Saccharomyces cerevisiae S288C: one gene and its partners. Changing the gene in region 1 together with any one later gene gives a genetic interaction. Each region holds a gene or a part of one and is shown on either strand. Other genes may lie near its edges.

Evidence for each region.
Region 2: mutations in HSP78 (region 1) and DLD3 impair growth when combined (synthetic growth defect), as found in Saccharomyces cerevisiae (one study listed by BioGRID).
Region 3: mutations in HSP78 (region 1) and DCS2 together harm fitness more than expected from each alone (negative genetic interaction), as found in Saccharomyces cerevisiae (2 studies listed by BioGRID).

What each region holds. Positions count from the first base shown.
Region 1 is NC_001136.10:972,473-976,072, forward strand, and holds the start of HSP78 (chaperone ATPase HSP78), read right to left. Parts: upstream 1,772-3,600; coding exon 1-1,771. Other genes in the region: YAP6 (Yap6p), read right to left, coding at 2,159-3,310. UniProt on the Saccharomyces cerevisiae protein: Required, in concert with mitochondrial Hsp70 (SSC1), for the dissociation, resolubilization and refolding of aggregates of damaged proteins in the mitochondrial matrix after heat stress.
Region 2 is NC_001137.3:14,524-18,363, forward strand, and holds DLD3 (D-lactate dehydrogenase), read left to right. Parts: upstream 1-1,831; coding exon 1,832-3,322; downstream 3,323-3,840. UniProt on the Saccharomyces cerevisiae protein: Catalyzes the reversible oxidation of (R)-2-hydroxyglutarate to 2-oxoglutarate coupled to reduction of pyruvate to (R)-lactate. Can also use oxaloacetate as electron acceptor instead of pyruvate producing (R)-malate.
Region 3 is NC_001147.6:655,480-659,013, reverse strand, and holds DCS2 (5'-(N(7)-methyl 5'-triphosphoguanosine)-(mRNA) diphosphatase), read right to left. Parts: upstream 1,751-3,534; coding exon 689-1,750; downstream 1-688. Other genes in the region: MED4 (Med4p), read right to left, coding at 1-267; YRM1 (Yrm1p), read right to left, coding at 2,444-3,534.

The DNA of each region.
Region 1 (3,600 bases):
AGACGTAACCTGGAGGTGCACCGATTAAACGAGAGACAGTATGCTTCTCTTGAAATTCTGACATGTCAAAACGAATCACATTTGATTCGTCATCAAATAGGAATTCAGCTAAAGCCTTGGTCAATTCTGTTTTACCAGTACCAGTAGGACCTAAGAACATAAAGCTGGCAATAGGTCTCTTTTCACTGGTCAAACCAGCCCTTTGAAGACGTACAGCATCAGAAATAGCAGCAATGGCCTCGTCTTGGCCAACGACTCTTTCTTTTAAAGAATTTTCCATATACAGTAGGCGGTCCTTGTCGCCTTTCATCACCGTTTCTGTAGGAATACCAGTCATTTTGGCAACAACCTTAGAAATATCGTCAGAAGTAACTGAATCATGAAGTAAATTTACTTTATCTCCGTCCTTACTCTTCTCGCTTAAAGCTACCTTCTTCTCCAAGTCAGGAATTCTGGAATATCGCAACTCGGATGCTTTAGTGTAATCACCCTCTCTCTGACACTTTTCCAACTCAATTCTTGCTTGTTCCAAATTTGCCTTAGCATTTTTGATAGATTCAATTTCAGCTCTTTCAGCGTCCCATATTTTTGTTAATCTGTTTAATTCATCATTTTTCATTTCTAGGTCCTTTTCCAACGCTTCTCTTCTTTCCACGGAAACAGGGTCGGTCTCTTTCTTTAAAGATTCCAGTTCTATTTGTATTTTCATAATAGCACGATCCAGTTTCTGTATTTCATCCGGTTTGGATTCATGTTGTAAACGTAGTACAGCACAAGCTTCGTCAACTAGATCAATGGCTTTATCAGGTAGAAACCTGTCTGTTATATAACGATTTGAAAGAACTGCAGCAGACACTAAAGCTGTATCAGTGATCCTTACACCATGATGAACCTCGTACCTTTCTTTTAAACCTCTTAGTATAGAAATCGTATCGGAGACGCTCGGCTCATTCAATAAGATAGGCTGAAACCTTCTCGATAAAGCCGGATCTTTTTCAATGATTTTGAATTCATCAAGAGTGGTTGCAGAGATACAACGTAGCCCACGGGCCAGTTTTGGCTTTAAGATGTTAGAAGCATCCATACTACCATCAGTTTTACCTAAGCCAAGCAGCATATGAACTTCATCAATGAAAACAATAACCTTACCATTGGCCTTGTCAATTTCTTCTAAAACCTTTTTTAAACGTTCTTCGAATTCACCTCTATATTTGGCGCCAGCAATCAAAGATCCCAAATCCAAAGCTACTAGATCTTTATCTTTCAACGAGTCAGGGACCTCCCCAGCAACAATTCTTTGAGCTAACCCATCAATAAGGGCGGTTTTACCGACACCAGCTCGACCGATCAAACATGGATTATTTTTTGTTCTTCTTGATAAAATTTGAATAGCTCTTGCGATTTCTTCGTCTCTGCCAATGACAGGGTCTAATTTACCGTCGCGCGCTAATTTTGTCAAGTTTGTACCAAATTGTTCTAAAGCTGGCTTTTCCGGTTGCTGATTGGGATCCATCCTCATTTGGACGTACGTTCTTTTGAAATTGGGCAATCCATATGAGCTCTTGAGGGCGCAGGTTGAAATAGCGACTTCATTTAATGCATTTGTTTTTATATCTGATAGAAGTTTATTGGCTACTCGAGGTCTTGCATTAAAACTGCAAATAGATCTTTTACACTGTACAATAGTGTATATTCGTGGAGTACTTCGCCTTAATAGTTGCGTTCTCTGTAAATATTTTTGTATTGGTGCTTTTGTAGCTTGTCTTAACATATTTAACCTTGAAAGATTTTCACTCGCTTGTTTCAGGGTTCCTGGAATAGATAATAGAAGTCAAACTTTTCATGCTTACATATGCATATATATGTATATATATGTGTGTGCGTGAGTCAGTAACTAGGGGGTTTGATGAGCTTAGATACAATGAATCACAGGGGTTTATTCAAAAAAAAAAGTCCGTGCACCCCCTATTCAAACGCGATGCCATTAGATGAAAGAACACTTCTAGAACATTCTGGAAAATAACAAATTTTATCAGAACAGAATCACACCTTGATTTGTCTGTTACATTAATTATTAAAATTTATATGACCTATAAGGCCAAAGCAAAAAGTTGATCTTCCAGTACTAGAGATCAATATCTGCTCCCTATTTATTGTATTACGTGGCACTATCCGAGTGTCTCCCTACTATTTCCTCCAGGGATCTTATTTTTTTTTTTAGTTGCTCTATTTCATCTCGTTGTTCTTGTTCCTTTCTTTTAGTATTTTCAATATCCTCGATCATTCGTATATATTCAGCGTGGAAGCGTTTATTCTCAAGTTTTAGGTTTTCATTTTCATTTCTTGACATGTTGTGTTCATTTTTTATTATACTATTCTCATTCTTCAACATGTTGTTTTCGTTACATAAGACATCATACTCACTTCTTAACATAGTAATTGCATTCCTTATAGCTTCATGCTGAGCTATTAAAATGTTGTTGTCATTTCTTAATGAATCGTTTAATGATTTGAAGTTATTATTTTCTGCTAGTAAATCGTCAAATATCTTTGATTTTTGTTCGAGATTCTTGATGTATTTTTCTTTCCTTTGTCTAAATGCCTTTTGAGCGGTTCTATTTTGAGCAGCTCTTCTAGTATTTCTTAAAGTTTTGCCTGAACTACTTATGAGTTGGGTGTCTTTATCAGGAACAGGTTTGGTTACATTATCATTATTATCATTATTATCAGCTGAATTTTTAGCGGTATCAGCACTGTTTTGAAAAGAAGGAGGTGCAGTAGTAACACTGGTATTGCGAGATGGGAGGGTTGATAGTTGCTCCTCTGCAATATACTCCTTATTCAAAGATATGCTCTGGTTCGGAAGTCCATTTGGTAAAGGGGGATTTATTTGATAAGGTGCATAAGATATGGAATAACTTTTAGGGGGGAATACCACGGAAGGTTGAATACTAACATGAGCATTTTGAGGTCTGTTGTAAGAAGCTGATTGTTTTCTTTCATTTGAATGCGGAGGGATGATATAAGATGGATGTATAGGACTTTGATGCATCGATCTATAGTCAGACGGACCAGATAGATGCATCAAGTTTGGCAAAGGAGGCTGGATAGGATTGCTGTTAACAGATATGTCGGTGTCCCCATTAGTGGTTGTAGGATTTATTCTATAAGGTAACTTTTGGGACGTGCTGGGCTGTGCAATTTGCGGAGAAGGATGCTCATTTAGATTCTTCTCAGAGGCATTATAAGTAGCCATTGAGCTGCTTCCCTGATTATACATATCGGGACGAATCAACGGAGGGTTTTGCATTTGTCCCTTAGCACTCTTCGTTATTCTGTTGTTTATTGAAATTTCTAGACAAAAGTATATGCTATCGGATTCACGATTGGTGGGGAAAAAAACTCGGTGTTACAGTTTGAGGAAAGATTGTGTTTAATATTGGTTCTGTAGTACACTCCACAATCTCTCAACTCGCATTGCTTTCCAAAGATAGTCTACTCTCGATACTACAAGGCTCCACTAACTGTGTTAACAAAATAAACAAAAAAAGAGATTCTCCAGAAATTAAAAACTTGAGAATAAAAAAAGAAATCAAAAGG
Region 2 (3,840 bases), on another chromosome or scaffold:
ACTAACCGTGCTTACTACCAAAAAAAAAGTGCGTATAAATATTCACTATTTACAATGTTGAAGGTTCCAGATGGATACAGAATAGGAATCCTAAATATAAACACTATATTTATTTATTTTTTTCGAATAAAAGTCATGTTAGCAATATTTATATAGTTGATTTTCCTGCATTTATTATATAATTGGCGGCATAGTAACATCAAAAAAAAAAAAAAAAACATTCAAATTGCACTACTTATAGCAGTAGCATCTATAAAAGTTTTATGATATAAACCTTTACAGTTATCTCAAATGGTTTTGGGATTGTCCATCAAATCAAGCGTGATTCATCTATACGTTATTATTCTCCTACAACCCCCTTAGTTTGGAGAGCGCTTAGAGAAATAAAGCATCGATGTTTTCTTACCTTCACTAAAATCAAAATAAAAAAGCTTTTCTATAGTTCACGAATTACGCAATTTATTCTATCATCCTTAAAGTTGATCAATTGCGATTTTAACACACATTTTCAAATGTCATTTTGCGCTTGTATAATAGGTGCCATCTGGACACTTTATAAAAAATAAAGGAAAAGTAAAATATAATGCTGAAAATATAGTTGCCTTAAAATGCCATTGATATGATTTTTTTTTAACCTTAAATCTATTGGCCTATAATATTCGCGGCAAAATGAGCATTTGAAAATCAGTAATAGAATGCTATCAAACTTCGTTCATGACCTTTTTAGCATCATAAGTGTTGAATCGAATCTATCAGTTCAGTAATTAAAAATACTATTTTTCTGTCAGCACAGAACGTAACGACTTTTCCTTATATCCACTATTGATTTCTCTTTAAAGTGCTATGTAAAGTACCTAAAAAACTTGTTATAGAAGTCTCATTCGAAAGCATGTGGGCTCAAAAATTGTGAATAAGATACATAGAAGGAGCCGCTGATCGACACATAATAGTAGAGTTGAACCTAGTTGGTTCAACCATTATCATAGTTATACGAATAAAGCCACAATATAAATGGCCAACCGCTGTTGTCAAACAAGACTATAGGTTCATTTTAACCTGGCGTGCAGTACGCTGGTCTTGCTAACGCCTCTACAATACGTACAGTGCAGGTTTTGACGAATGAAAGTGGTTAGAAGATTAATGTGATAGAAACAAGAATTTTCTCGCAAAGATCTGTATGAAAGGAAACGTTTGGTAAGAACTCTGCGATCCAAATTCTACTGAATGAATAGAAGGCTTCTACAGAACAAGTTGTATCGAAATGATTGTTGGCGACTACTATATTTCTATAGGCATGAAAGTTACTCATAAACAGGAAAGACGCATTTTAGTAGCTTGACCTGGTCAGATTAATCAGCTTCCAACGTTACTTCCCTTTCGCAAGAATCTACCCAAAATGTCTCGAGCATCTTGATAATTACAGTATCGTTCGTCCCGACTTGGCATTTGTTTAAATTTCTAAGATGCTTCCTATAGGAACATAATTGTCAAGAAAGCACAACAAATTGTCTGCAATGTCAACAGGAGTGGCGCATTTTATGTTTTTTCATTTTTTTTTTTTTGTGCGTGATCATTAAGCGGGATATTGTCCACAGTCATCTAAAAGAATGACCATTTCGACGACTTAGTTCGGAAAATATTTCCAGCGGATGACACCACTTGCCACAGTTGGTGACCGCCAAATCTAAGTCACGCGCGGAAACTGAAAGGTTGTGAGTATATAAGTGATCACTCGCTTATATAACTGACGAGGCAGAACAGGGTGCCAAAATGCTCCTCAATATTTTATTCATTTGAGATTCAAGGCTTAAAGACAGCATATATAAGAATTATGACGGCCGCACATCCTGTTGCTCAGTTAACTGCCGAGGCATACCCTAAAGTCAAGAGAAACCCAAATTTCAAAGTTCTCGACTCGGAAGATTTGGCGTACTTTCGTTCGATTTTGTCAAATGATGAAATCTTAAACTCTCAAGCTCCAGAAGAGCTTGCTTCGTTTAACCAGGACTGGATGAAAAAATATAGAGGCCAGTCCAATTTAATTCTCTTGCCAAACTCCACTGATAAAGTGTCCAAGATTATGAAATACTGTAACGATAAAAAGTTGGCAGTAGTACCACAAGGTGGTAACACCGACTTGGTCGGAGCCTCTGTTCCGGTATTTGATGAGATTGTTCTTTCTCTAAGAAATATGAACAAAGTCAGAGATTTTGATCCAGTTAGCGGGACTTTCAAGTGTGACGCGGGTGTCGTTATGCGTGATGCGCATCAATTTTTACACGACCATGACCATATCTTCCCATTGGATCTGCCTTCTAGAAACAACTGTCAAGTGGGCGGTGTAGTTTCAACAAATGCAGGTGGTTTGAACTTTTTAAGATATGGGTCTCTACACGGTAATGTTTTGGGTTTGGAAGTGGTGCTACCCAACGGTGAGATTATCAGCAATATCAATGCCCTAAGGAAGGACAATACTGGTTATGACTTGAAACAATTATTCATCGGTGCAGAGGGTACTATCGGTGTCGTTACTGGTGTATCCATAGTTGCAGCAGCAAAGCCAAAAGCCTTGAATGCCGTATTTTTTGGTATTGAGAATTTCGATACCGTTCAGAAATTATTTGTCAAGGCTAAAAGTGAATTATCTGAGATTTTATCTGCTTTTGAATTCATGGACCGTGGCTCCATTGAATGTACGATAGAATACTTGAAGGACTTGCCTTTCCCTCTGGAGAACCAACACAACTTTTATGTTCTTATTGAAACGTCAGGGTCCAATAAGAGACACGACGATGAGAAGCTGACTGCTTTCCTCAAAGATACCACAGATTCTAAATTAATTTCGGAGGGTATGATGGCTAAGGACAAAGCCGATTTTGATAGACTTTGGACCTGGAGAAAATCTGTTCCAACAGCTTGTAATTCTTACGGTGGTATGTACAAGTATGACATGTCACTTCAATTGAAAGATTTATATTCCGTATCTGCGGCTGTGACGGAGAGATTAAACGCAGCCGGTTTGATTGGTGATGCACCAAAACCAGTTGTTAAATCATGTGGTTATGGTCATGTCGGTGACGGAAACATCCATTTAAATATCGCGGTAAGAGAATTTACAAAACAGATTGAGGACTTACTAGAACCATTTGTTTATGAATATATTGCATCAAAGAAAGGTTCCATCAGTGCTGAGCATGGGATCGGTTTCCATAAGAAAGGTAAGTTACACTACACCAGAAGTGATATTGAAATTAGATTTATGAAGGATATCAAAAATCACTACGATCCAAATGGAATCTTAAACCCATACAAGTACATTTGAACTTTGTTAATTTTTAACTTTCAAAGAGCAAACCCTTTTTCTTTACAGTATTATAGATTTACATATATGTATTTATCAATTTATTATTGATCAAAATTAATATACCATAAAATATTTATCTTAAGCCGTTGTTCTTGAACGATTTTCGGTGAAGAAACCTAAGAGACCATTTTTTGTGGAAAAAGGTCTCGTTTTCTATAGATCTGCGACCAGGAATCTCCTGATTGCGTACTTCAAAAAGTGTTCGTCCATTTTTTCTTTACTACATTAGATAATTATACATAATCCAATTGGAGTAGTGACATGAGTATTGGTATAACCTTAATCCAACAATTTTAAACACGTACTAAAGTGATCTGGACTCATTAAAACTCAAATCTCGTCCAGTTTTTTCTTCATTTGTGATCAACATCCAGGGAGACACGGAGATTATAGTAGTAGTTAATAACACTTCGCAATTACTTATTCAAGTATGTTATTAAATAGTGAAGAGGAATGAGTTTTCAGATCACATGTTA
Region 3 (3,534 bases), on another chromosome or scaffold:
TTCAGCTAACAGTTTGACGTTTTCAAACAAGGCCTCATCAGTTCTGATCAAATCCTTGGCAATATCAAGGTTTGGTTTGAAACGATCTACAGATTCCACCAACTTACTCAATGTATCCTCGTACCGGCACAAATCTTCGTAGAGTTGGACCTTAGATAATTTGTCTTCACTATTCGTGTTTGAAGTAGCCTCTGCTACCAGGGATACAGAGGATGATCTGATGTGACCCATAGAAAACTCTACCGCTTTAGTATCTTGGACAGACATAACATTCGTTGTGTGTACTCTGGAAGTAATTGATACTAGATGCTTTCTCCACCGTTAACAATATACCAGAAAACCTTGTTGAAAACGGGACACGTTATAACTACTTTCCTTCGCGGTATGGTGAGCAGAGAATGCAAAAGTTTATCTTTTTCTCCAGCCTACCTTACGTAGGTGGTAATGCACTATTTTTTCGCATTTCTTTGAAAAGGCTGGCAATACGTCAAAGGCTATGTATGCTATAAGGGAAAGAAAGCTTATACGGAAAATAGCAACTGAATGTACTATGTTACTGTGCATTCGCATTCTATGTTAAAATTCAAAATCCATTGAGATGTATACACAAACATTTAAATAAGACATTTATATAAGCCGGCGCTTCCTGAAGTTCAGCACATGAAAAAATAGTGCTGCTCTTCTACCTTCAACCCAAATTGGTATTGAACCCAGAGCCTTTTTCAGGACTGGTTGCGATACCATCATGCTTCAGTTGCTTTTCAACTTCTTCCTTAAAGCCCTTTTTCCATAAATCATGATTTTCACCAATGACATAAGTAAGCGTCTTCTTCATATAACCTTCAGGACCTAAGAAACCCAACGCTTCTATAACATCTTCCAACAGTATTGTCATTCCGGAGCCTCTCTCCTCGCCTACTCCTGGATGCCTTATATTCACTATATGGACATGAAAATGGTAATATGAAGGTTGATAATGAATGAAAACTCTTAGCTCGTCCGGGTTTACATTATAGTCATAGTGCTGGGGGATGATGGTCTTAATCTTCTTATTGAGTCTAATTAACCAATCTCTATGGTTTGGGTTCAAATCTCTCAAAGATTTGATGTCGTCCCTGTACACGATCGCGACCAGGTATAACGAATCAATGTTGATTCCGTCCCACTTCATATCGGGCAAGATGACGAATCCATCCTCTTTATTCCTGCTACTGTATTCCTTATAAACAACTCTATCATCCTCGGCGCCCTCGTAAAGAATGTTGTTTACCCATTTCATTCTTTCGCTGGTACACATCTCTTGGATAAAGGGCACAACTATGTTTCTATACATATCAGGAGTTTCTCTGACGACATGTAAATCCTGCTGGTCGTATCCCTTGATGTGGAACTGCGAGGCGGGCCAAATTAAGTTAACCTTCGCAGTTGGGTTATGCAAAATATGCTGCTTCAAAACAGACAACCCCCAGTAGTAGATGTCATTCGAAGTTAATTCCTTCAGATCAGTAATACCGTTTAAAAAGGAGTACTCGTCTATTTCACGATGAAAGAAAATCGGAGTGCTACGGCCACTTTGAGAGGGTCTACGTACCGTTTCATCAAATATGAAATGCGTCTTTTCAGCAGTTAACACGGCATCCTTCCCATCTATGCTGCCTAGTAGTGAGATTACCTTTGTATGAGGGTTCGAATCTAACACCCTGACGTATTTAAACCTCCCAATTAAACTAGCTAAATCTTGGGAACCCATCATGTATTTTTTTACTTTTACACGCTCAAATCTTTTCAATTTTGCAATGAAAAGGTACCGACCTAACATATATTTGAAGACCAAACGAAACCCCCGTGCTTCTGTTTCTCTTCTTTCTGCCTTTATACTCATTGGTATTGTCACCCCTTATTTCCCCCCTAGGCGTCTGCGCGGCCGCTGTCATGGGGCTGTCCTTTCGGACTAGCATATAATCACTGACGCTAGCTCTAATCGATCAATAATTAAGTGGAAGTATTTTGTTGAGGTGGGTGATTATTATGGGGAAGATTTTTGACAATCGAATGAACACTTTAACAGCTTTTGGAGGCTAGAGTGCCAGTAAGCTCCATACTTCTTTGGAGTTGATTTCTTTTTCTTGCAGAATAGGTTGGACAAAGTACATCCATCAGAACAATTGCAGGTGCCTTTTGTTCACGCAATTACTGGCTTTTCCTTGTTTGTTTGGTCAAGAAGTTAGTGTTTAGCTTTTTCCCTTCATTTTTTTATTTTTCTTATTTTATAGATGCTTAAATGTCATTTTTGTCTTACTAATCATTAAATAGTTGGTCCGAAAGATAGGTCCAAGCGCAAGTCCAAGCCAATGGCTTGCTCTCGACTGTCTTCCATTACAATATGCAAGTTTTCTATCTAGCTGCTGTCGCAAGCATGTTTTTTTGTAAAAGAACTTCTCCTCTACTGCGTATCAAATAAATATTTATAATCTGGCTGACTCATTAGTTCCTCCCAGCCAAGGTTGTACGCCGTCCAAAATTCGTTGGATATTGTCTGTGCCAGTTCAGTCTCAATTGGCCCAGTTTCATTGTTATGCGAAGCGTTTTCGCTGTTATTTCGCACTTCCTCCGGGGGTAATCCTGGAGAATTTCCCGCCAATGGACTGGCGCTTGTGACGCCCAGGTCACTTAAACTGGGATCGATTGGAGTATTTACATTGTCAGTGAGCGAATAGGACCCATTCAATTCGTCTTGGAGTTGTTGTAACCATGTGTTTTCGACCTCGGTTCTATATTTGATTACTTTTTCCAAAACAGCTCTATATATGCTTTCCAGGGCGATGTTGATAACAAATGTATAAGAGCGAGCCATAATAATTCTTAACTGCTTGTTGTTATCATTAGACCATTTAGCAAATATATCTGAATGTATTTTGAAAGCAGTAAGTAAGTTCATAGCTTTATCCAACGGGATATTCAAGGTTGACAAATCCCAATCTGTGACTTCTTGATCTTTGATGTTGGATGATAGATAATAGCCCTTCTCAAAAAGAGTTAACTTATGATACAAAAACGCACAAAAGCCAGTAGAGGCCCTAGGAAAAAGGAAATTTGTGTATACTAAAGACAAGGCCATAAATGGCGGTAAATGAACGCAATTATGATCAAAAAACTCAGGAAAATGCTTCTCATCTAGGTTAAAACACAGTATGGTCGTATTGATGACAAGGGAAAAAGAGACCAAAATGGTTTGCAGGATGTTGTTCTCTAAAACAACGCTTTTTTCCTTGTAAATCAAATACCTCAAGGAATAAAACGTCAACAACAAATTCAAAACCTGCGCAAGCACTTTAATCTCGCACAAAGGAACTTTAGATATTAACTCACTGTCAGTGTAATATGATATTGGGTGGAATTCAGTCTCTACAAAGTTTCTTAGTTTTTTACAATTTTCGGCTAAGTCTGGAAATGCGCTTCTATCATAAATTTGATCTAGCATTGGTCGAGCTAATCTTAAAAACCTTTTAAGCTTGCCCATGCAGGAATTTGACT